Oreochromis niloticus: one gene and its partners. The protein of the gene in region 2 purifies or fractionates together with the protein of the main gene of each other region. This does not show direct contact. Links are inferred from orthologs where the notes say so. Each region holds a gene or a part of one and is shown on either strand. Other genes may lie near its edges. The genes, in order: orc3, lrwd1 and orc4.

The links.
Region 1: the proteins of lrwd1 (region 2) and orc3 purify together in Homo sapiens (affinity purification with mass spectrometry; 4 studies listed by BioGRID and IntAct, with this or other methods). This does not show direct contact. The link is inferred for Oreochromis niloticus from reciprocal best matches to the Homo sapiens genes LRWD1 and ORC3.
Region 3: the proteins of lrwd1 (region 2) and orc4 purify together in Homo sapiens (affinity purification with mass spectrometry; 3 studies listed by BioGRID and IntAct, with this or other methods). This does not show direct contact. The link is inferred for Oreochromis niloticus from reciprocal best matches to the Homo sapiens genes LRWD1 and ORC4.

What each region holds. Positions count from the first base shown.
Region 1 is NC_031983.2:13,549,244-13,556,176, forward strand, and holds the start of orc3 (origin recognition complex subunit 3), read left to right. Parts: upstream 1-3,870; 5' UTR 3,871-4,000; coding exon 4,001-4,024; intron 4,025-4,130; coding exon 4,131-4,185; intron 4,186-4,281; coding exon 4,282-4,379; intron 4,380-4,762; coding exon 4,763-4,901; intron 4,902-5,068; coding exon 5,069-5,173; intron 5,174-5,262; coding exon 5,263-5,426; intron 5,427-5,510; coding exon 5,511-5,650; intron 5,651-5,778; coding exon 5,779-5,938; intron 5,939-6,392; coding exon 6,393-6,506; intron 6,507-6,623; coding exon 6,624-6,757; intron 6,758-6,933. Other genes in the region: znf292a (zinc finger protein 292a), read left to right, coding at 1-2,327. UniProt on the Homo sapiens protein: Component of the origin recognition complex (ORC) that binds origins of replication. DNA-binding is ATP-dependent. The specific DNA sequences that define origins of replication have not been identified yet.
Region 2 is NC_031975.2:24,535,716-24,542,810, reverse strand, and holds the start of lrwd1 (leucine-rich repeat and WD repeat-containing protein 1), read right to left. Parts: upstream 3,018-7,095; 5' UTR 2,936-3,017; intron 2,927-2,935; exon of another isoform or gene 2,073-2,926; intron 2,067-2,072; 5' UTR 2,060-2,066; coding exon 1,980-2,059; intron 1,499-1,979; coding exon 1,264-1,498; intron 273-1,263; coding exon 153-272; intron 1-152. Other genes in the region: alkbh4 (alpha-ketoglutarate-dependent dioxygenase alkB homolog 4), read left to right, coding at 4,267-4,383, 4,679-4,867, 5,802-6,323. UniProt on the Homo sapiens protein: Required for G1/S transition. Recruits and stabilizes the origin recognition complex (ORC) onto chromatin during G1 to establish pre-replication complex (preRC) and to heterochromatic sites in post-replicated cells.
Region 3 is NC_031986.2:18,203,521-18,210,993, forward strand, and holds the start of orc4 (origin recognition complex subunit 4), read left to right. Parts: upstream 1-4,422; 5' UTR 4,423-4,545; exon of another isoform or gene 4,546-4,615; intron 4,616-4,621; exon of another isoform or gene 4,622-4,878; intron 4,879-5,233; 5' UTR 5,234-5,250; coding exon 5,251-5,307; intron 5,308-5,401; coding exon 5,402-5,478; intron 5,479-6,346; coding exon 6,347-6,437; intron 6,438-6,541; coding exon 6,542-6,617; intron 6,618-6,710; coding exon 6,711-6,796; intron 6,797-6,891; coding exon 6,892-6,940; intron 6,941-7,033; coding exon 7,034-7,185; intron 7,186-7,269; coding exon 7,270-7,443; intron 7,444-7,473. UniProt on the Homo sapiens protein: Component of the origin recognition complex (ORC) that binds origins of replication. DNA-binding is ATP-dependent. The specific DNA sequences that define origins of replication have not been identified yet.

The DNA of each region.
Region 1 (6,933 bases), on a different chromosome or scaffold from region 2:
CGCCATCCAAACTGTCTCCATATCCTTGTCAGATCTGTCCAAAAACATTTACAAGAACGACAGGGTTGAGAATTCACTATGAAAAAGTCCATCGATTGTCAAAGGCAGAAATGCAGAAGCTTAGAATTAGTGCTAGAAATAGACGTGCATTTAGACTTAACAAAGCTGATGCAGTTATTAAACGTCCAAACACCGATGTCAGTAGCAGCCAGATAGCAAAGTCTGCACCTGTAACTCCTGCTATAAAACAGGAACCACTTGATGTTGCAATTGCACCTCAACCAGACGCTGCCAACAATCTAGACGTTCCTCAGATCACTCCAGAAGACGTGTCAAAGCAAAGCGTGACCTCTGAGGTATTGACTGTTACACGACTACCATCACCTCAAAACTACTTGACTGACAGGCCGTTTGAGGAAGTGGCACAACCTGCTCCTGAAAAAGCTCCAGAGGAACCTAAAGTGGCTGTTATTAACAACAGTCCAGAAATGACACTGAAATCCAGTTTGAAAGAGAAACTCAGTCCCGTTGGCAAAGCAAAAGTGCCGCAAGGAAAATTAGCCGTGAGCCCGAGCAAAGTGAAACAGCTAAAGTCTCCGCCTTCATCTCCTTCATCGTCTCCTGAAAAACCCAGCAGCTCCAAAAGCACACCAACAAAGGAGGAGAAAAAGGAGAAACTTCAGAAGAGGTTAAGCCTCAAAATGTTTGACGCAGACAATGCCTACAGTCCGTACAGACCTTATCGCTGTGTTCATGAGGGATGCACTGCAGCATTCACCATCCAGCACAATTTGATACTCCATTACAAGGCCATGCATCAGGCATCCCTGCCCCCTAACAAAACTGAAGGTGAAACTGAAGCTGAAAAGACCAGCGTTAATACCGGACAGGAGAGCGATCAGACCATAGAAAAAGATAATGAAGTCAGGTGTCAAGTGAAAAATTGCTCAAGGGTGTTCATGGGAATCACACGGCTGGTGCAACATTACCTCTTACTACACAAGTTCACCCGTGACAAAGCCACCGCCATGATGGCCAGTATGAGCATAGGAACTTTTAACTGTGACCGGCCAGAGTGTGCTCTCCCCTTCAGCTCTGTGGAAAAATACATTGAGCACATTAAGAATTACCACAAGGAAATCGCCATTTCTGAGAGCGGCTCCGTTGATCCAACTTTCCGGTGCGAGTACGATGGATGTGACCGAGTGTACACTACAAAGTCAAACCTGCTCCGTCACCTCATCAAAAAGCACGACTATATTTATGACCCCAAAATAAGTGATGGAAGAAGGACTAAATCGGTAGGGCTCTTCCCAGGGGTTAACAATGGCAAAGAGAACGTAGAAAGCAAATTCAGAGTGAAAAAGAAAAACACTAAAAAGAAAGATGGAAAGTCCATTGAACACTGGACTAGTTTTGGAAAGCCTACACTAAAATCTCACGAAGAAGCATCGGCCATGTGCACCAAGAAGTCCTCGCTGCAGTACCCATGCATGATCATAGGTTGCGATGCAGTGGAGTCTGCTGAAAGAAATATATTTAAGCATTACACCACACATGGCCTCACAGAGAGATACATTGAAGATCAGAGGAGCCAGTTCATTTTCTGCAAAAAATACTCACGCGCCAGATGCAAAGATGCAAACAAAGCAGAGGGCACGTCAGCTTCATCTTCTGAGGACATGGAGCCAGAAGAAGTTGAAAAGCCCAGTGACCAGAAAATTGATGAATCGGTAGAAAAAATAGTCCAAGAGGACAGCAAGCTGTCCAACGACGATAGTGCAGAATCTCAAGCTTCCACTGGGACAGAAGGAGGAATTAAAAGAGGCCGTCCCAGAAAACCTGCACATCCCACACCAGCTTGTCCGGAGAGGATACAAACCCTTAGGAACCGCACGACTGTTAACAGTTCAAGAGAGAACTCAAATCCTGGTACCCCTGCAGCCCAAGAACAACGTGATGACGGGGTTATGTCAGCGTCTTTCAAGCCGTTAGGACTTGAGGACTCCTTTCTTAAGTTCTTGGAAACCTCAGAGTCGACCAACTCTTCCAAACGCAAATTAAATGATAAATCTAGTGCTGAACTGCCTTCCAAAAGACAACACACTAACAAACAGAAATCTGCAACCAAAAGTAAAGCAGCTGATGAATTGAAAGGTTGTGAGAGTCTTGTAGACTTCAGAAACCCCCTCAATCTCCAATCAGTGAGTAATGTTAAGATAGTCATGGATAAAACATTATCAGATGGCGCTGATCTTTTGCTAAAGCAGCTACAAGACATGCGGCCCATAGTCATAATAAAAAAGTGGATTTATAGCGGATCATAACCCGATATTTTTTGTTTTCAGCTCAGTCTTACTCAGGATTTGAGAAGTTATGCTGCAGAATGGTTTGTTAATGCATCAAATTTCCAACTGTTAACAGTCATGGTCACACTTAATGAAAAAAAAAGGCCTATTTTGTACCTAATGAAATAACGTCTCGGATGATTTTAAGTATGTATGTTAGTTATAATAACCAGGTAATCTATAGGGCATAGATTTTAGAAACATGTTTGTATTTATGCTTAGTACTGAAGATGTTTTTTTTTCTTTTGCTAAATGGAGACTTTTAAAGAAAACTATGTTTTTATATATCCCTATGGGATTTCAAGTTCTGTTTGTATTTATTTCATCCTTTTACAACACTAGTAGACCTATCTGTAATATTTACATGTCTTCCACAAAGTGTTCAATAAAATGTTACTGGTTCTTTTTATAACATACTGACTGCACACTTTCTATTGTTCTAACTTATATAGTTTACAGTAGCTTTGTTTACGCACAATGCCGCTGTGAAATTATGCACATGATTCGGTTTTAAATGATATAATATATGGAAACTTGGAATATGGTGGGAAAAGGTTGTTGTGAGTAACTGAATAGATGTGGAAACTTTTCATATTTGTGGACACAAAGCTTCCCAAAGGAGCCTGGAAAATGTACAGTTTTTGAAACTTTTTCCATAAAGGGAATGCCAGCAATCTACACAACTAAAGTTGTAGACCTAATGTCAGTTTAAAACACCTTAAATTGGGCATACTGACATGAAAAATGTCAATAGTATAAATAAATCAGTGCATTAAAACATACTTGCATATTAAAACATATTATGGAAGCTTGTTTCTTTCTCTCAAATTTTCCCCCATTCAAACTTCACAATTTCAACTTGCTCAGAAACTAAATTTTGAAACGATATGATGAAAATTGACGTAGCTCTGCTTGCTTTTCTTCTTCTTTTTTTGCAGAAATAAGCCTCCATAGTTCATGGAAAAGTACATTTTAACATAAAAAAAATAATATATTGAGCTTATTTCTATAATTAAACATACTGTTCATTCAGGGGGCTTGTGCATGCATTTTTGGCTTGTTTTTACATATTTTTTCTTAAGGTTATCTAAAACTTTAATTTATTGCGACATATTTCCTCCACACAATGCACAATGGGAATTAACTCAGCTAAAAAAAACTATATATATATATATGAAGAAGTAGGTATGCACTGATTTGAGACTTAAATGGCTGTAATAGAGCTTTATGATTGTTATTGCGTCATTATTTTAAGAGTTGCCAGCTGTAACGCAAAATGGACCTGAAGGACAGTAACGGGACACCGGAGATGCTTTGGGGGAACGTTCAAGATCAGCAATGTTAGAAAGCGTTAACAGCAGTGATCTAACGGGAAAAAAGCTTTCGTTCCTTCTTTTAAATTATTTATCTGGTGTAATTTAATGTTAGTTTTGAAAAGTGGGTTGTGGTTGCATAACTTAAAACAACTTGACAAAAGTATGAACTCACGCTTGAAGCTGTTTATCAGCTGAACACAACCCTTTCCGTATACGTCACTTTGGCGGGAAGTAGATACCCAGCAAGGCTACAGGCATCCGTCATTTTAAATGCACATAGGACCTCCAGCTCAGGGTACAGGCCGGGCTATTCACTGCGGACCCGTGTAGCGAAAGATGGCTACTTCATCCGTGTCAAAGGTAAAGTCTTATATATGTTGTGCTTCATGCATGTTTGATTAAAACTTATTAATTTACTGGCAGTCGTCATACAATGTTAAATGAGACTATTTGTCAACGTTTTTAGGGCTGCTTTGTTTTCAAGCCCAGCGCTAAGAAAAAGAAGAAGACTCTCAGTCTGGGTGAGATACGCGAGTGTTTATACAAGATTTGTCTTCCCGAGCTGTCGGGTGGATTTAGTGGTATTAAGTTGCTGATGTCATGTTTTTTCGCCACAGAGAGTTACTTCGTTCAGGGATGCGAGGATGCTGAGAGCAGTGAAATACGATTCAGGTTATGTCAGGAACTGTGGGACGAAATCAAAACAGACACAGAGGTGAGGACAGATGTTCAGCAGGAAGGCCAGAAAGTAGACTTTTCTGTCCCAAGAAGAAAATATGTGCTCAAAGTAAAGTTAATAAAACTGAGAAAACAGTTAACTGCCTCTAGTTTTTATTGTATACATGCATATTTATGCACGACTCTTCATACTACACATGGCTTTAATGTTGTATATGCAAGCGTGCTTTTATAGTGTTGTAAAATTGAATATATAGTGACAAAAGCAGGAGATGCCTCTGGAGTACTCTATTAATATGATTTTTTTTTTTTAAAAAAGTCGTTAATTTAGTCATGGTTTGATTTTTACTGAGCAGACCGTTTTTGTATCTTCTACATACAAATACATTATACATTCATATGTACTTTTTTGCTTCTTAGGTTTTACAAGATGAACTCAACAGGACAATCTTGGACAGTTTGCTGGACTTCACGAGGAAATGCTCCTCTACACGTCAAAACAGTGACTGGACATCACAGATGAGGGCCAGTGAAATCCCCACAGCAGCTCTAATGCTCGGTATGTTGGTTATGAGGCAGTAATATCTGATGTTTGAGTTAAAAAACATGTATGACTCTCACAACTACATATGATGTAGTATTAGTAGATTTTTAGTAGAAACGAGGCATTTACATTACATGCTGTCATCTCTACCTAATCTGAACTTCCTTTAATGTCCACTCTAGGTGTGAACGTCCCAGATCACGACATGACCTTTCAGAGTCTGTCTGACATGCTAAAGCAGTCTGTCAGCCCTCACGTGGCCTCTGTGCAGGCCAAAGAGTGTGGAGGTAAGGGGTTTCGAGATCAGTCAGAAATCATTTTGTGCTCCCCTCATAGGCTTTGCTTTAAATGGTATGTGTTTGGTTTATGATTTCAGCACTGAAGCATTTGATGAAGAAGGTGCTCGAACGGTTGATGGATACAGTTGTGGTTGTGGATGATGAAGATGAGGAGGAGAATGTGGAGACGAGCCCTCGGGTCCATAGGAGCATGCACTGCTCTCTCGGGATACTTTGTGATTGGTACACTGCAAGAACAAAGGTGGGAGCACAAACCACTGCTGGCGTGCATACAGAGACTTGGATTGTAAGTGATATGTATCATATATGATTTTATTTTTTTCAGAAATCTCCCACTGGTACTCCAGGGAAAAAACGTAGCTCTCAAGTCAGAGATGAGCAGCAGCAGCCTCCTGTTGTAATCATTTTCAAAGATTTGGAGGCTTTTAACCCAAGAGTTCTTCAGGACTTCATCCTCATCTGCAGGTAAATGAAGACTCTTGAGTTGAATCGCTTTCTTATTTTTAGGGCTGCAGATAATACACAAATCATTGATAATGCATTTTGGATTTGCAAGCTGGGCAAGTCTCTGCTAAACAAACTCTGCTCCACAGTCAGTACATTGACCGCCTACCGCTGACCTTCATCTTTGGGATCGCTACATCACCCAGTACCATCCAGCACATGCTTCCCCACTCCGTGTCCTCCCTGCTGTGCATCGAGCTTTTCCAGTCACTGTCATGCACACAACACCTGGCTACAGTCATTGACAAGGTAAGTTCAACCTGACCAAAGAATAAAAAAACATAAAAACACTGATCTGTGCAATCCTCCAGACGGGAAAACCTTCCTGATATCTATGAGTCCATGTGTACAGTTAGCTTTCCAATCTGAAGACTGTTGCATACTTAAGCATATCCAACATCTTCTTTTTAAAAGCGGTTTCCTGAGTGTAAGTTGCATTTTAAACCTCCTGACAACACCAGGTTACAGACGAGCAGCCTCTGGTTAAAGAGGCACGTTTTCAGGAATTAGATGGTACATTTATTATGAAGTGTCCTACATTTATAACAATAGTTTCTGTTTTCCATTTCAGTGCCTCAAAAAGGATACATTTCTTTTTGAGCCATAGCGGTCACACTAACCCTAACTGTAGACGATCAGTGGCCTGGAGGATGTAAAGAAATTAAATAAAAGTAGTTAAATTTTCTTTCTTTTATTATTTCAGTTGATCCTGGCATCACGCATTCACTTTAAACTCAACGGGAAAGTGATGCAGGTCCTCATTGGTGTCTTCCTCTACCATGATTTCTCAGTGAGAAACTTCATTAAGGGACTGCAGGTATGGAGCATCCTCTAACAGTCTCCGCAAGTCTGTCATCCCCCTGCTTTCTTGCCTGAAGTGTAATTCAAATACAGAAATATGTGAGTTTAAAGTTTCTGTTTGGTCCTTGTGCAGCTGGCTCTGCTCGAGCACTTTCACTCTCAGCCTCTCAGTGTTCTGTGTTGCAAGAAAAAGCAGGCTCTGTTCAACGTCACACAGCTCAGCAAACCCAACTTGGACAGGATAAGACAGCTGCCGTCGTTCAAAAGGTACTCAAACTTGTTTCTTTCTCCAATCATCCACGTGTGTGAGTCTAAAGTGCAAATGCAGCACTTATTTAGCTGCAAAAAGTGATAGTAGGTGTCTTAGCATGTTTTTAATTTGTGTATTTGTGTTGACCTTTTTTCAAATGTGAAAGTAAGACTTTGAATTGTTCTAATGTGTG
Region 2 (7,095 bases):
ATTGCCACATCTGTGCCAAAAATATCTTTGTTCAAAACAACAGCTGCTAAACATCATTTTTTGGTGCATGTTATGACTTTGTACAGTATCAAATGCAGGAACATTAACACCAATACCATGAAGTAGAGCAAAATAAGCCATTAGTTCCATACCCTGGTCCTCAGATTATCACTGTAGACATAACGCAAGTGGTTGGCAGAAGTACTGACATCTTTACCGCTGTAAATCCTCAGATTGGGCAGCAACACCATCAGCTTGTAAGTGTCACTCACCTGATAACCAAAAGAAACGTTAACAATTAAGTCAGTGTGGCGGCATTTTATGATGAAGGGACCTAAAAAATGACTGTGTGCAGTCTTTCTGTGAACGCTTTCCTTTCAAACGTACTGTACATTTGATGTGACTGTGCAAATGTGGAGGACACTGGAGATCACAGCAAAAAAGGAAACAAGTTTATAGTTCAGAATTATTATATAATTACTCATTCTGATTACTGAGCTGACAAAGATCTTATATATTTGTTGTGTACACTTTTGTGAGCTCAGACTGAACCTACCGGCTATTCGATCTTGTTTATGAGTGGCAGCCAATCAGAAGCAAAGGATGAAAATGAGCGGAAACCATTTTTAAAAGAATTTCTCTGCTAATAATACAGTTTTCATTGGGGTACTGGGATAATAGGAATGCAGGGATGTGTTTTGCTTTATCAAATGCATCACCTAGAAAAACAACCAGATCCTACAGAGTAGCAAGGATTTCCTTATTTCCATTTATGGTCTGCAGGATAGTGGGGGCTGAAACTGTGTCTCTTTCACAGTGGGGGAGAAAGGTTGGAACACAGTCTATCTTAGAGTTGACACAAAAGAGAGCCATTCACACCTACAGGACTTCATTTCACATCATCAGCATGTGTTTGTATTGCAGGTGATGCAGACAGAATACACAAACTCAGCAGACAAAGGCCTGAGCTGGCTGAGGAGTCAAACACAGGAATATTTTATTGTCATGACAACTGATGCAACGTGCTCCCTTGCAATGCTAACACTAATAATCAGCTGGTATGATCATTCAGCAATGTAGCCTGACTCAAATATTTCTCCATGAGCCAAGCCAGACAGCAGTAGGTGTAGAAGTATGTGATTTTATGAAATACTGATGACAAGTGTCAGTTATAACCTGTTCATGTATTTGCCATTTGTGCTGTAGCTGCAAAGAGTAACCCTAAAACAGGAGTGTAAGGAGAAAACAAAGCTATGTGCTCACAGTGATGTAGAGGTTGCCATCCATCCTCAGCTCTTCTACGTTGCTTAGGGAGTCCAGAGTGGTAACATCCTCGATCTGGTTGTCACTCAGGTCCAGGAAGCGAAGTGCAGGCAGCTCCAGGTTCTTGGGAAACTCCTGCAGCATGTTTCCAGAAAGATCTAACTTCTCCAGAGACTGGAGACGGGACAGCAGCTTGACAGGTAGATCCTGAAGCTTCAACCTCATCTTAGACAGACTGAAACACAAAGAGCACCAAAGTTAGTGTTTCCATGGGGTATGAAATAAAATTACATATGAAGCCGTTTAGTGATTATAGTATTACATCTATAATCATTTGTTTAAATATTATTGCATACACACAAATATCACAAAAGTATCAAAATATTTCCATTAATTCAATGTTTTATTCCAGTTTTTAAATAGCCAACTGCAAAATGTCTTTGAATATTAGGGCCTTATTGTTTATATGCACTCAGCATTGGCATAAATGTCATGGTCATTTAGGGCTTCATAATTTCCAGGGTGGAACGAATGGATACATTTTAATTACTTTAAAAAAAACAAGAATCATCATAAAAATACCATGACAAGCATGCCCATGATGAGTGGATGTAAACTTGTTACCACAACTGTAACTAAGCATTACCAGTTTACTTCAGTGCAACTTTAACAGCAAGACACCTACAGAGCATGATAAGGAGAAACAAAGTCCTTACTTCAAAGTCATGATTTGCTCCAGTTTGTTGGCTTTTGGAGAGGCTTTCTCCAGTAAAACTTTCTCAGTGATTTTTTCCATTGCTTATCTGCAGGAAGAAGCACAATTCAGGAGTGAAGATGGCAAACTGAAGATAGGGCTGAGATAAGTGTCCTCCTAGTTTATTTATATTGTCAATCCTGTTCTAATCACGCAACCAGAGCACCGCCCACATGGCCAAAACAAACTGACTACATCAAGGACTGAAACTCCGTAAAAGCTCTTTAAGAATATGATTAGATACAAACAATAGGATAAGAAAACATGAATTACAAACATGGTCTGTAACTGCTTTAGAAGGCCTGATTAGTAATCAGCACCACTGATCAGCTTCAAGAACAATGAAAATTCCTGTGGATGAGAAACGCTGTAGTACACACAAAGACTTAAACAAGTAGATTTGTGTTTAATATTATTACACAGATACTGTTTACAACTGAGCTTGTTCCACTTGTTTTAGCTGGTCTAATTACTCTTTTTTGGCATTTTTGGCATTTAGCAATTAAAATCCCCTCTTGCTCCTCAGCATGATTAATCTGTTAAAGAAATGGAAAATTTCCTCCAAAAACAGTTTACGATAAATAAGCGGCTATTCAACAATAACAGGCTAAATGCGATTTCATAACGCTCTATCCTTTAAGTAACGTTGTCATAACGTCTATATAGAGATCCATACTAAGGTGAGGAAGGATATTTCACGTAAAGAAGATGAGAAAGCGTTATATGATAATAAGTTTGAGTTTCTCCTAGCTAACCACGTTGGCAGTGCCGACAGCCGTATATATCTCTATATATTTACATTTCTCGGCTACAAACACAAATAACAATTATTGATTTAATTAGAGCAAGCGTTAGTGGTTTTGCTTTTGTTATTAAACAGCTTAAAACTTGTCAATATATGTGATTAATATCACTTACCAAACACTTGAGCGAACTCAAAACACTCTTGCTGAAACCGAGCTTTCCCGGGGAAACGTTACGTATATCCGGTGGGCGTGGTTTAAACAAGACATTGTTTTTTACAGCCTGGGTTTTGCTTGCCAGGGATTAACAACCTATGGCAATTGTACAATAACTTACTCATGGCCATTGATCAGTGTTCCTTGATCAGTGGGTTTTGGTCAGTGATTGTTGATCAATGGTCATGGGAATTTGCATAATTATGATTAAGGAACTGACCTCACAGCCCATTGTTCCTTCAGTGGGCTGGTTTCAGTCATTATGCAAATGTACTGTTTGTAAGGTTTGGGGAAACCTGCAGTCAGCTGAGACTGAAGAAGTCACTTGGATGAGTGACAAAACGTTTCTCCCACAAAATGCTACGTCCAGATGAACAGATTCAACTTTTGGAGAGGTACAATAACTTAGTTTTTATTATTATTACTTTTTTCATTTACGTTAAGCACATTGAGTTTACGTGTAATTAAAAGTGCTGTATGAATTAAATTGACATTGATTTAAAATTACATTATTTTAAGTTCTTTGGATCACAAAGAAGTGAAATACTATTGGCATTTCATTCCAAAAAGCCATCATCTGAATATTTTCTGCTTTTGTATAGTTCCAATGTTCCAAAACAAAAAAGGCAATATTCGTGTAATTTTTGAATGATTCAGTTGAAGTTGTGCCGTTAATCACCATGCAGAACATTTTCAGGATATGGTTCAAAAGAAAGGGTCTAGAACTGAAGAGTAGATTTTGCGGTCTGTAGCCCCTGAAATGCATTCATTCTGGCACTCCCAGTTTAGAGCAATGAACAATGAAGACTTTAACAGAACGGCAAGGAGGGGCAAGAGGTCTAGGCAGGGTGGCACTGAAGTATATGAAAATCTCCCATATGTAAACGGAGTCAACAAAATATCCACAAAAACACTTTAAAATGATTTATTGCATCATTATCTGTTCTAAGAAAACAAAGGCTATAAGAGGCTTTTGGAGTTGCCCCCAACTTTTTTAAGGCAGTCAGTCGTGAATGTTACTAGTGAACATTAACTAGTAATGTAGTTATGTTAATGGTTTTGGTTGTGAACCATAACTAGTTATGATACAAACACTACTTCCACTACTATGTTTTTTAAAATTATTATTAATATATATACATTTGTATTTTTTATATTCAGATATCAGTTTTCTTATTTGCTTCCTCCTTTAGCTCTGCTAACCCTGAAAATGCCCGCATTCTCCGCTAGCTGGCGATAGTTAAATGTTTTCGTTTGCTGCCACTTCCTGACACAAGAAGAAGATGCAGGATGATGGCTCCCGACACCAGTGACGACGTGCCTTCATGCGCTTGTAAAGGTGTCCGCCGGTGTCTCGTCTGCGAAGGGTTGAAAGAGAAAGTACAGCCGGAGGCGAGTGAATCAAAGGTACTGTTTTCCAACAGAAAACTGTTATATTGTTTTTATAACAAGTAAAAAAAATAATCAAATACTGCTAACAGCAGCGCACACAACAAGGTACGGGTGCCCTCGGAGGACATTCCATCCTTATTAAAGGGATATTACTGCGGTTATAAATGTGTGCCAACAGCGTTTGTCTTTATAACAAAAAGGCATTCACTACAAACTGTCAATTTCATCGCCAAAAATTATAATTCTAGGAATACATTTGCGTCACTGTATAAATAACGATGTTTTTCTGTTTATCTGTCTTTCTGTGAAGATTGTCCATCATTTCCTCTACGATCCTCAGTCGAGGCTCGCTGTTGGAAAAGATGCCCAGGCTGCATCCTTCCCCTTTTCTGGGGTCTTCCTGTGGGAGAACTTCATATCAGAAGAGGAAGAGAAGGAGCTTATATGTGCGATGGACCAGGATGTGTGGAAGGAGTCGCAGTCCGGTCGAAGAAAACAGGTTAGCATGTGATCAAATAAAAACAAACAAAACATTTTTGTTTAGACTATGATGAATAGAAGCGATTATTAGGGCTGTAAAGTCAATATAAGTGTCAGTCCGAGTTTACTCAGGTCATCAACATTGATTCACAGAGAGTTTGAGTCGTACCTCTCCATGCTGCCTTCAACACTGTTGATTGTTGATCGTGATATTTTAATTCAAAGGCTTCGTGATTCAGTTGGTTTAACTCGTTAGTTTCTCGATTGGGTTTCATCATGACTAAAGGGTAAATGTTTCTATGTGTCAGTTAATATTTTTAGAACTGCAGAAATAAACATTCTGTCATTGGTTACTTTTTAACCTTATCACTTAACTGATCTAACCTGTTCACAAATTATTAAGCTGCGTTGATGACATTAACTTGTGGATGTCTAGAATCTTTCTAGAAATGAATAGAGACAAGATAGAAAATCCAAAAAGTCAGAGACAGAGAAAATTTGTTCATATTTATTATCCCTTTCTGTGAAAAACGATGAACAAGTCAGGCACCTTGGGATCATTTTGGACTGTGGTCTCAGTTTTGATAATCATATTAATAAAATAGACAGAATTGCTTTCTGCTACTCAAAATATATATCAAAGGTTAGAAAATTCTTATCTCAAACTGACTCTGAAATTGGGCCATGCTTTCAGATCAAGCAGGTTAGATTACTGTAACACTCTTATTTTGTGGGTGGGACATGAGATGAATTACTACTGTTTTATATTGCCTTTAAATGTTGTAGAGCTACATAGCTTTTTTTATCTTTTATGGTAAGCATACTAAGTGTACCCATAATAAAATGTGCTATATAGATAACATTGTCGTCAATTCTATTTGATATATATAGTATGGAAAGTATATATACCGTAGTAATGGAGTGACCAAAAGCCTCCTCCAATATTGTTGCAGGACTTTGGCCCGAAGGTGAACTTCAAGAAAAGGAAAGTGCGTGTGGGTGGCTTCAGTGGACTCCCTGCTTTGAGCCATAAACTTGTGCTTCGGATGTATCAGGAATCAGCTCTAGCCGGCTTCCAGCCAGTGGAGCAGTGCAACCTGGATTATCATCCTGAGCGAGGTGCAGCCATCGATCCACACTTAGACGATTCTTGGCTGTGGGGGGAGCGCTTAGTCACCATTAACATGTTGTCAGACACTACACTCACCATGTCTCTGGAGCAGGGTCTGCCAGAGCTGGGACTAACAGGGGAGGTCCATGTAGCTGTGAACCTTCCTCGCAGATGTTTAGTAGTTTTATACGGCGAGGCACGGCATAAATGGAAACACGCCATTCACAGGAAGGACATTCATGTACGTAGAGTCTGCAGCACCTACAGAGAGCTATCTGCAGAGTTCCTGCCTGGAGGGCAGCAGGCAGACCTCGGAGCCCAGCTGTTGAATATCGCCTTGAACTTCCAAGGCTCTCCAGTTTAATCTAATTTGATGGATCCAGAGGGAGCTGCAATCTAAATCACTTGGACTTGTCTTAAACTGTAAAGATGTGTCCTTTGGACACCCTAGGGCTTGTTTGCTGGATCTGTGCCAGCTCCCCAAATAGTGAGCAGTGCTCACGAGGCTTGTGTGCATTAATTAGTTGAACATCTGCTGTGGTGCGAAGCCAAGCTGAAGTCGAATTGCTTTGGAAAAAATGTTGGGGGGAAATTGTGTTAAAATAGCTCCAATGTCATTATATTATTCCACCCCCACCCTCAGTGTTCTTTTTGTTTTATGACAAATGGAGAGAATAAAGCAATTTTTCCACGCACAGGGCGATCCGTGGTAACTCGCTAATGGAGATTTGCCGCGTTAATGTGGTTATGATGTTAACGTCATTTTAACGAGATTAACGCTGACAGCACTAATATAAATATATGTTTGTGTGTGTGTGTGTGTGTGTGTGTGTGTGTGTGCAGAGAGACTGACACAAACCTAATCTTTGACTTTGTGATGATAAGAACAAATCTTTGATGATAAATTGAATAGAGAATTATACACGTGTTGGGATTGAGGCTTTTTTTTTCTCTTTCAGAACTGCAATTATAATTGTTAAGATAAACATTTAACAGTAAAATATGACTTAAAACAAAATCAAATCTGATTGCAAAAGTGAATCAAAAGATCTGTCACCTGAAACAATCATGTGCAGCAGCTGCACATATCTGGCTTTGTTGAATCAGCAGTGGCTGCGAGTCATTTTTCTGAAACC
Region 3 (7,473 bases), on a different chromosome or scaffold from region 2:
TGATGATTATTGAATATTCATTAATAAAACTAGTAATATATGTTGACTAGATTGACACTACACATCATAGTTTCAAAGTTATAAGGCTTTTAGTCAATTTTCCACCAATACATCATTGAGTTGACCTTGAAAACCTTGGTGGATGTAAGCCAAATTTGAGTGGATTGTTAACATGACCCCACTCTACACTCATACAACGTTTTATCAGAATTCATTCACAACTTTTGAAGTTATTGTGTTTACAGACAGGATGGTGATGTGTGCACACACACAAATCCTATTAAAAACGTCTGATTTTTTGTATTACAAATAAATAATGTTGAATTTACTTGCAGAAAAATGACTTAGAGGCAACTTGTTAGTAATAACACTGTATGACTGTGGCATGATTATATTAAGTACTAAAACAAACCTTAACAATTAGTTATATAAATTTCATATACAGTTTTCACTCTTTCTGTCAGTTTGGACGCATTCACAACACAAACACCCCAACGAGGCTTTCATGGAGATGTTTATTGGGTATCAAGATGTCAAGTCAGCTGACTTTGCAAAGCAAAACTGAAACTACTAAAAATTCAACTAAAACTAGACAATTTCAAACAATAATCAATATAACAAGCACGACAAGACACTTGTTATAACCAAGGAAGGCTGCCATGGCAGTGCAGTCATCAGCACTGTCACCTCACAAGAGGCTCCTAGGTTGGATTCATCCACTGGACTAGATGCAAACTCCTTTCTTCAAAGTCCAAAAACAGGTATGGGGTTAGGTTAGTTGGTTAAGTCTAATTAACTGAGTTTAGGCGAGGACCGACAGGCTGCACTTTGTCTTTGACGGAAGATGGGTAGGCTGTGGTCATTTCTGATGAGCTGTAACCTCAGTTTCCTGTTCTTAGCAGTGTCACCTGCTATGATCTTCTGCTGCTGTAGACCATCTCCATCAACATTCAGTATGTTGCCTGTTCAGAGATGCTCTTCTGTATACTTTGATTACATCCATCCACTTTCTTACACTAATACAATTCAGGATCAAGCCAGAATTTGGTGTAAACAACATGAAGCATGGCTCCATCCTGCCTTGTATCAACAGTTCAGGCTGGTGTTGGATGTGTAACGGTGTGGGGAATATTTTCTTGGCACTCTTTTGGTCCTTAGTACCACCTGAGCATCATTGAAACTCTACAGCCTACCTGAGCGTTGTTGCTGAGCATGTCCATCCCTTTATGATCACAGTGTACCATCTTCTGATGGCTGCTTTCAGCATAATAACACACCATGTCACAAAGCTCAGATCATCACAACCTGGTTTCTTGAACATGACAATGAGTTCACTGAGTTCACTGTACTCAGATGGCCTCCACAGTCACCGGATCTCAATCCAGTAGAGCCCCTTTGGGATGTGGTGGAACAGCAGATTCATGTCATGGATGTGCAGCCAACAAATCTGCAGCAAATGTGTGATACTGTCATGTCATCATGGACCAAAATCTCAGAGGAACAATTCCATCACCTTTTTGAATCTGTGCAAGGCAGAATCAAGACAAGGCAAAAGGATATGTGTGAGTCCTTTCCTCTTTGGAGCTAAAAGAGGCCACTCAAACACATGAGATATCAGTGGAAAGCCTAGGATGTCCTTTATTTAGTACATCAGGACTTTAAGAATCTCAAATCACTCAAAAGATATAAACCAAAAACAAATGTCCATTACAGAGGACATAAATGAATAGGCTGGTTCACAGGAGGACATGACTGGCTCACATCAGAAACAGTAGAAATGAACACAGTGATCTTTAAGTTCTGCTGACTTGATCTGCAAAATAGTTTGAGTTAATGCCGAATAATGACTTTGATTAATTCTAAAAGGTAGAAAAAGTGACAGGAAATTAATTTAGTACAACTTTTTTTTTTCCTTTTCCTTTTTTGGGGGTAGGGGGAAGGGTCATTGTTGCAGAAGGTAAGCTTACATAAAGACCCCTTACAGAAGTTTTAACTTTTGTAACGTTATCATTACCATGTCTTACTTTGTCAAAAATAAAAGGTGGTCTTTACATATTAAGCACAATGTACTAAAATGATCAGAAGCCAATGGCTACATACTGAAACTCAGAATATGTGGACTCACAGGGTTAGAAAAAAAGTCACCATCTAATTAAAAACAATCCCATTACCAGTTATTTTGCTAGTACCTTACAGGTACTTTGTTAAATACTGTATATGAAGTGTAATTTGATAAGCGTTTAACACCATAAGCTACAAACTGCAATGATAATGATTAATTACAAGAACATCTTTTAGCAGAAACTAAACTATTCATATTTATGAACAAGATGACACTCATTAAGGTTAATTTTGACTGGCTGCGCGCACAAAAACTACAAAAATACAACACAAAGTTGCAGTGGAGCAAAAACAGACACTCAGCAAAATAATTTCCTGAGATAAATAAAGGTCATAAAAGCTGAAGAAAACATGAGCTCAGCCGTCTGAAGCGAGGACGAGATGCAGCTCAGGGTGCAAACGCCTGAATTTTGTGTGAAGGTCAAACCCGAGGAGACGTTAAATGAATTCAGCGTAGGGCTGCTGAAGGAAGGAGCGCTTCATGTATTTTTAAGGGCAAACACAGAGGGCTGAATGTGCGAGCGGAGGGTCGTATTTTAGAATAATGTGACAGGCTAAATGTGAGCGGAGAGCGGGAGACGATTTGCGAGATATCTGGCGGTTTGCTGTGTCTTTTTTTTTTCCTTTTCATCAGTCAACCAAAAAGCCGCAGGAAGCGTTTAAGTGTCTCCAGAGCTTCAGTGAGTAAAAGATGCTGTTATGCAGGCGGCCTTTTAGCCATTCACATGAGCCATCCCTCCTAATTTTATCAAACCAGAGCAGAAGTGGCTGTTATAGTTTCACAAATAAACGTATATATAATTACACATAATTGTAGTCTTTCTCAGTGCCGACAGACTATTTCTTATATATCTTACTATAACACAGAAAATCTGTGTGTTCATTTCTTTGTCTACCAACTCCTCCTACATGATCACAAGCAGCGCAACCAAACTTGGCACACAAGTATGTCTTAGGCACCTGAAGGTTCTTATCTATGTCAAATGTTATGATGCCATCATGTTGCCTAGCAACCACCTATAGCAACTGGCCAAAATGACTTGTTTTTAGCATTTATGCAGATGTAAAATCTCTTAAGAGCATCCTGTTATTTTAATTTCACAAAAATAACATAAAATGTAATCTACAAAACTTGAATTGTGAATAATATATTATATATAATATCATATTGTTTTCATTTCATAGCCAGTAAATGCTGTAGAACGGAAATGCGCAGGATCAAATTCAAGAATAAAATGTATATAAAATTCAACAAATAAAATCCTATTCATGTAAAATTCATAAAAAGCATAAAAAGACACATTGTTTTTAACTTTTGCCCTCAAGACAAGGATGTGTCATTTGTTATAATAACAAATTAAAAATATTGTATTTGAAATTGAAATTGAAAATAAAATAATATTTTGTCATTTTAATTTATATATTTTTTAAACAAGTTCAAAAGTCTGTACACACCTGAATGGGTTATTCAAATATTCAAATTCAAATATAACCTCTGTGCAATGTCTTCTTTACTGCTAATACTTTTATTAAATCACAACGTGACTTAAATTGTTGTGGATTTATGTTAATAGTATTGACATATTTGAATAGCTTTGTGCTTACATAGCTTCAAATCTAAATCTCTACTTGAGCCCATTTCTGATGAGGCTTCAGTGAACAGTAGATGGTTCTGTGTCAGCTCTTTACTGGATTCTTTCATGTTTTTTAAGGACATGATTTTCAGATACTGTTCATCTGATGTAGATGGTTTTTGAAGGCTGACAGCTCTTTAGCCCTCCACTTCTCCAGCTTCCTCAGATTTTTTTGAGGGCAGACTGCACACCATGTTGTGCTATGCCAAGTTTTCAGCTAATAGCTTTTAGGAATCACGTTTGTTAGTACAAAAAATACTGTTTAATGTCTGTCAAACTGTGTAATCTTTGACATTTTTCATAGATCCAACTAAAGACATTAGAACAAATGATGTGTTTTTGTGGTTGTGGTTGTCTTTTTTACGCTTCAATGATTCATAGTGGTTTAACCAGCAAAAGATTGGCCAGGGACAAGGACTGAGCAGAAAATAAGTGAAAAAGCAGCCGATATCCAAAGAAAAACGTTCAAAGACATTCAGGAAGCCTCAAGAACTACTGCTCAAGACCACTTTGAAAACAATAGAACAAAGTCTGTCTACTTGGTAACAAAATATAAAAAAACACAATTGTTGACTTTTGCACATTATCATATGTCATGTTTTTCTTTTAAATCATTTTTTATTTGTTATTATTTTATTTGTGCGTATGTGTGTGAATAATATAATTCCACAACCACAGCGCTGCTCTGAGTCACAGCCAATCAGAGAGCAGATATAGTCAAAGCCGGAAGTCGTCATCGCTGGCAGAGGAGTATTCCCGCGAAGATTGAGGCGTCTCATCGTTGCTCCCGGTATGTTTGTTCTGATGTGTGTGTGAAAAGAAGCTCGACTAGCTGACACCTGTCTTACACAACGGTAGAAGTAATCAAAGTTAGAAATGGAAAACATTCGTGCTTCTTCAGCACGCTTTTAGCGAGCAGATCTTCGAGTAAAGCCCTGGGTTGCGTCGCAAGCGTGTAGCACCGAGGTTCTGTTGTAAAAATGCCAATTTTGTGTTCTCCTGACTTGTCGGCGGATATGATCTCAGCCTTGAATGCAGCCCGAGACGGATTCTCACACTTATGAGTCGCTTTCTAATTCGGCATACATAAAATCTATTTAGACATTCATTTTTTGACCAAATTGTAAGTTAAGCAGTCAAAGGCAGCTATGAGATAGAGTGTTATTGTTGCATCAGCTGTATACCGAATTAAATTGTTTTATCTTCACCTGTTATCGACCCTAACATTGGTTACAGCACAACTGTAAACATGTCCTGAAGCGATGTGATTTCGTTTTGGTGATTATTAGTCTTACATTTGGCTTAAACTAAAAAAAAAAAAGGTGTTATTTATTGGAATTAAAACCGTTGTTTCCACCATGTTGGTGCATTTAATTGACACCTAACGGCAATGTAAAGTGTCAGTATTATCCCCCTGATAAATGAATTTAGTGGCATGTTGAAGTTGACCTGTTTTCCCACTTTTTCACATTTTGCAGTTGACAGTCACATCATCATGAGTAAGAGGAAGGCCAGAGATGCTCATCTGCCTGTAGGGGAATGCATCAAACAGGTGTGTGTATGAACAGCCAGTGAGTTTTTCAGTGTCATACTCTGAAATATACCTAATAAAATGTAGTTTATTTATAATACATGTTTCTGTGCAGGTTCAGCAGATTTTAAGGGAGCGATTTTGTGAGAGGCGGCTCCCTGACAGACTAGAGGGAGTAGAAGCTCAGTACAAGTAAGTTCATAACAGCAGGGCCTGTGGATAGAGGTGATTTTATAATAATGTCAACAAGAAAATCACGGAGAAAATCAGAACGTTAAATTCAAACAAAGTTGGATATTAAAATAAGAAACAAGACAATCAGTGCGAGAAAAGAAACTGGAGAAATGACTGGCACAGGTTCCTGCCTCATAGCTTCAACCGGATCGGCCTGTTTTAATCCTCGGGGCGTTTCTGGCGCTGTCAAAGCTGTGTGTTTGTGTCTGTGTGTGTGTGTGTGCGCATTGTGACTTCGTTATGGTTGTCCTTTGAAAACACATTCTTGTTTAAAGTGGAGGTCTGGAAAGAGGCTTAAAAATGTGAAAACACACTGACTGGTAAAACACTGCCCACTGTGGTGAAACGTATAGTAACAGTATGTAGGGTGTAATTATGAAAGGTACCTTTACTAGTGATCAGTAAAAGGTTAAAAGTTCGAGGCCATTCCAACCTTACTGTTTATACAGGAGAGGAGGAATCTGTTGTAATCTGGCCTTGTGAAAATAAAACCATGAATAATTTGTCCTAAGTGTTTGGGAAAGGCAAATAAGCTGTGAAGGGTGTTTGTTTTTGTTTCGGCTTCAGTTCCTACAGGTGTTGGATGGTTTAGAAGGCCTGTAGTAGAACTGTCATCTATAATTAAGAGCAGACCTGGAGCTCGGTGTGAGTTTCAGTGACCCAGTTCAGTCGCACCTGGGTGACAGCTCTGTCCCAGTTTCCTGGCCGACTCGGCCACAACACGAGCTTCCCCAGTGAGAGATTTCCACTCATTAGAAGCAGGAGATGGGGGTGTAAATTTTACTAAGCATTGTGGGTATTGTAGTTAAAGCCATTGTGTTTGCAGACACCTCCTGGAGCTGCTGAGGCGGACGGCGATCCACGGGGAGAGTAATTCTGTGCTAATCGTGGGTCCCAGAGGAGCAGGGAAAACGACGGTGAGCCGTGGAAAAAATGAATTTGTGTTTTTTAAATTTAAATAATTTTTTAAAAGTATGGACTTGTTGTGAATCCTGTGAGGTTTGTGTTTTTGTGCCTGAAGCTGCTGCAGTGCGTGCTGAGAGACCTGCAGAAAGAGGAGAAGGTGCAGAAGAACCTTCTTCAGGTTCACCTCAATGGTGCCAAACCTCATTTAAATTCCTCACAATTTAAGAACCCACACGTTTGCTGGAAATCTGAATTGGATGGATGGGTTTGTGTGTTTGCTGCAGGTCTCCTGCAGACTGATGACAGAATAGCGCTGAAAGAAATAACCAGACAGCTCCACCTGGAAAACGTTGTTGGAGACAAAGTGTTTGTGAGTATTAAGAGAGACTGTTATTAACATTTTCAGCTCTGAAAACTCCTACAAAAATCTTTCTACCTTTTTTTTTTTTTTTTTTTTTTCCTTAGGGAAGCTTTGCTGAAAATCTGGCTTTCCTCCTGGAGGCATTAAAAAAAGGTGAGAAAATTCAAATATTTAAAGCTGATTTCAGACTAGAGGGGCAGGTTTGATGTTTTTTTTTGTTCTTGTTTTGTTTTTTAATCCTAAAAGGCAATCGCAGCAGTAGCTGCCCAGTGTTGTTTGTCCTGGATGAGTTCGACTTATTCGCCCACCACAAGAACCAGACTCTGCTCTACAACCTGTTTGACGTCTCACAGTCCGCCCAGGCTCCCATCGCCGTGGTTGGCGTCACCTGCAGACTGGTGGGCCTCAGAATACCTCTCAGAAACGCTACTTAGATAATGGTAGGTGTTTTTAATACGTGTTGTGATTCTTTTTCCATTCAGGATGTTCTGGAGCTGCTGGAGAAGCGGGTGAAGTCGCGGTTTTCCCACCGTCAGATCCACCTGCTGAGCAGCCTCAACTTCACCCAGTACCTGGAACGGGTTTGGACGCAACTCAGCCTGCCGGACAGCTTTCCTGACAAGAAGTTCGCTCAGGAGTGGAACGCTGGTGTAAAGGTGAAGCTAGCAGGCAGACACAAAGTTTTC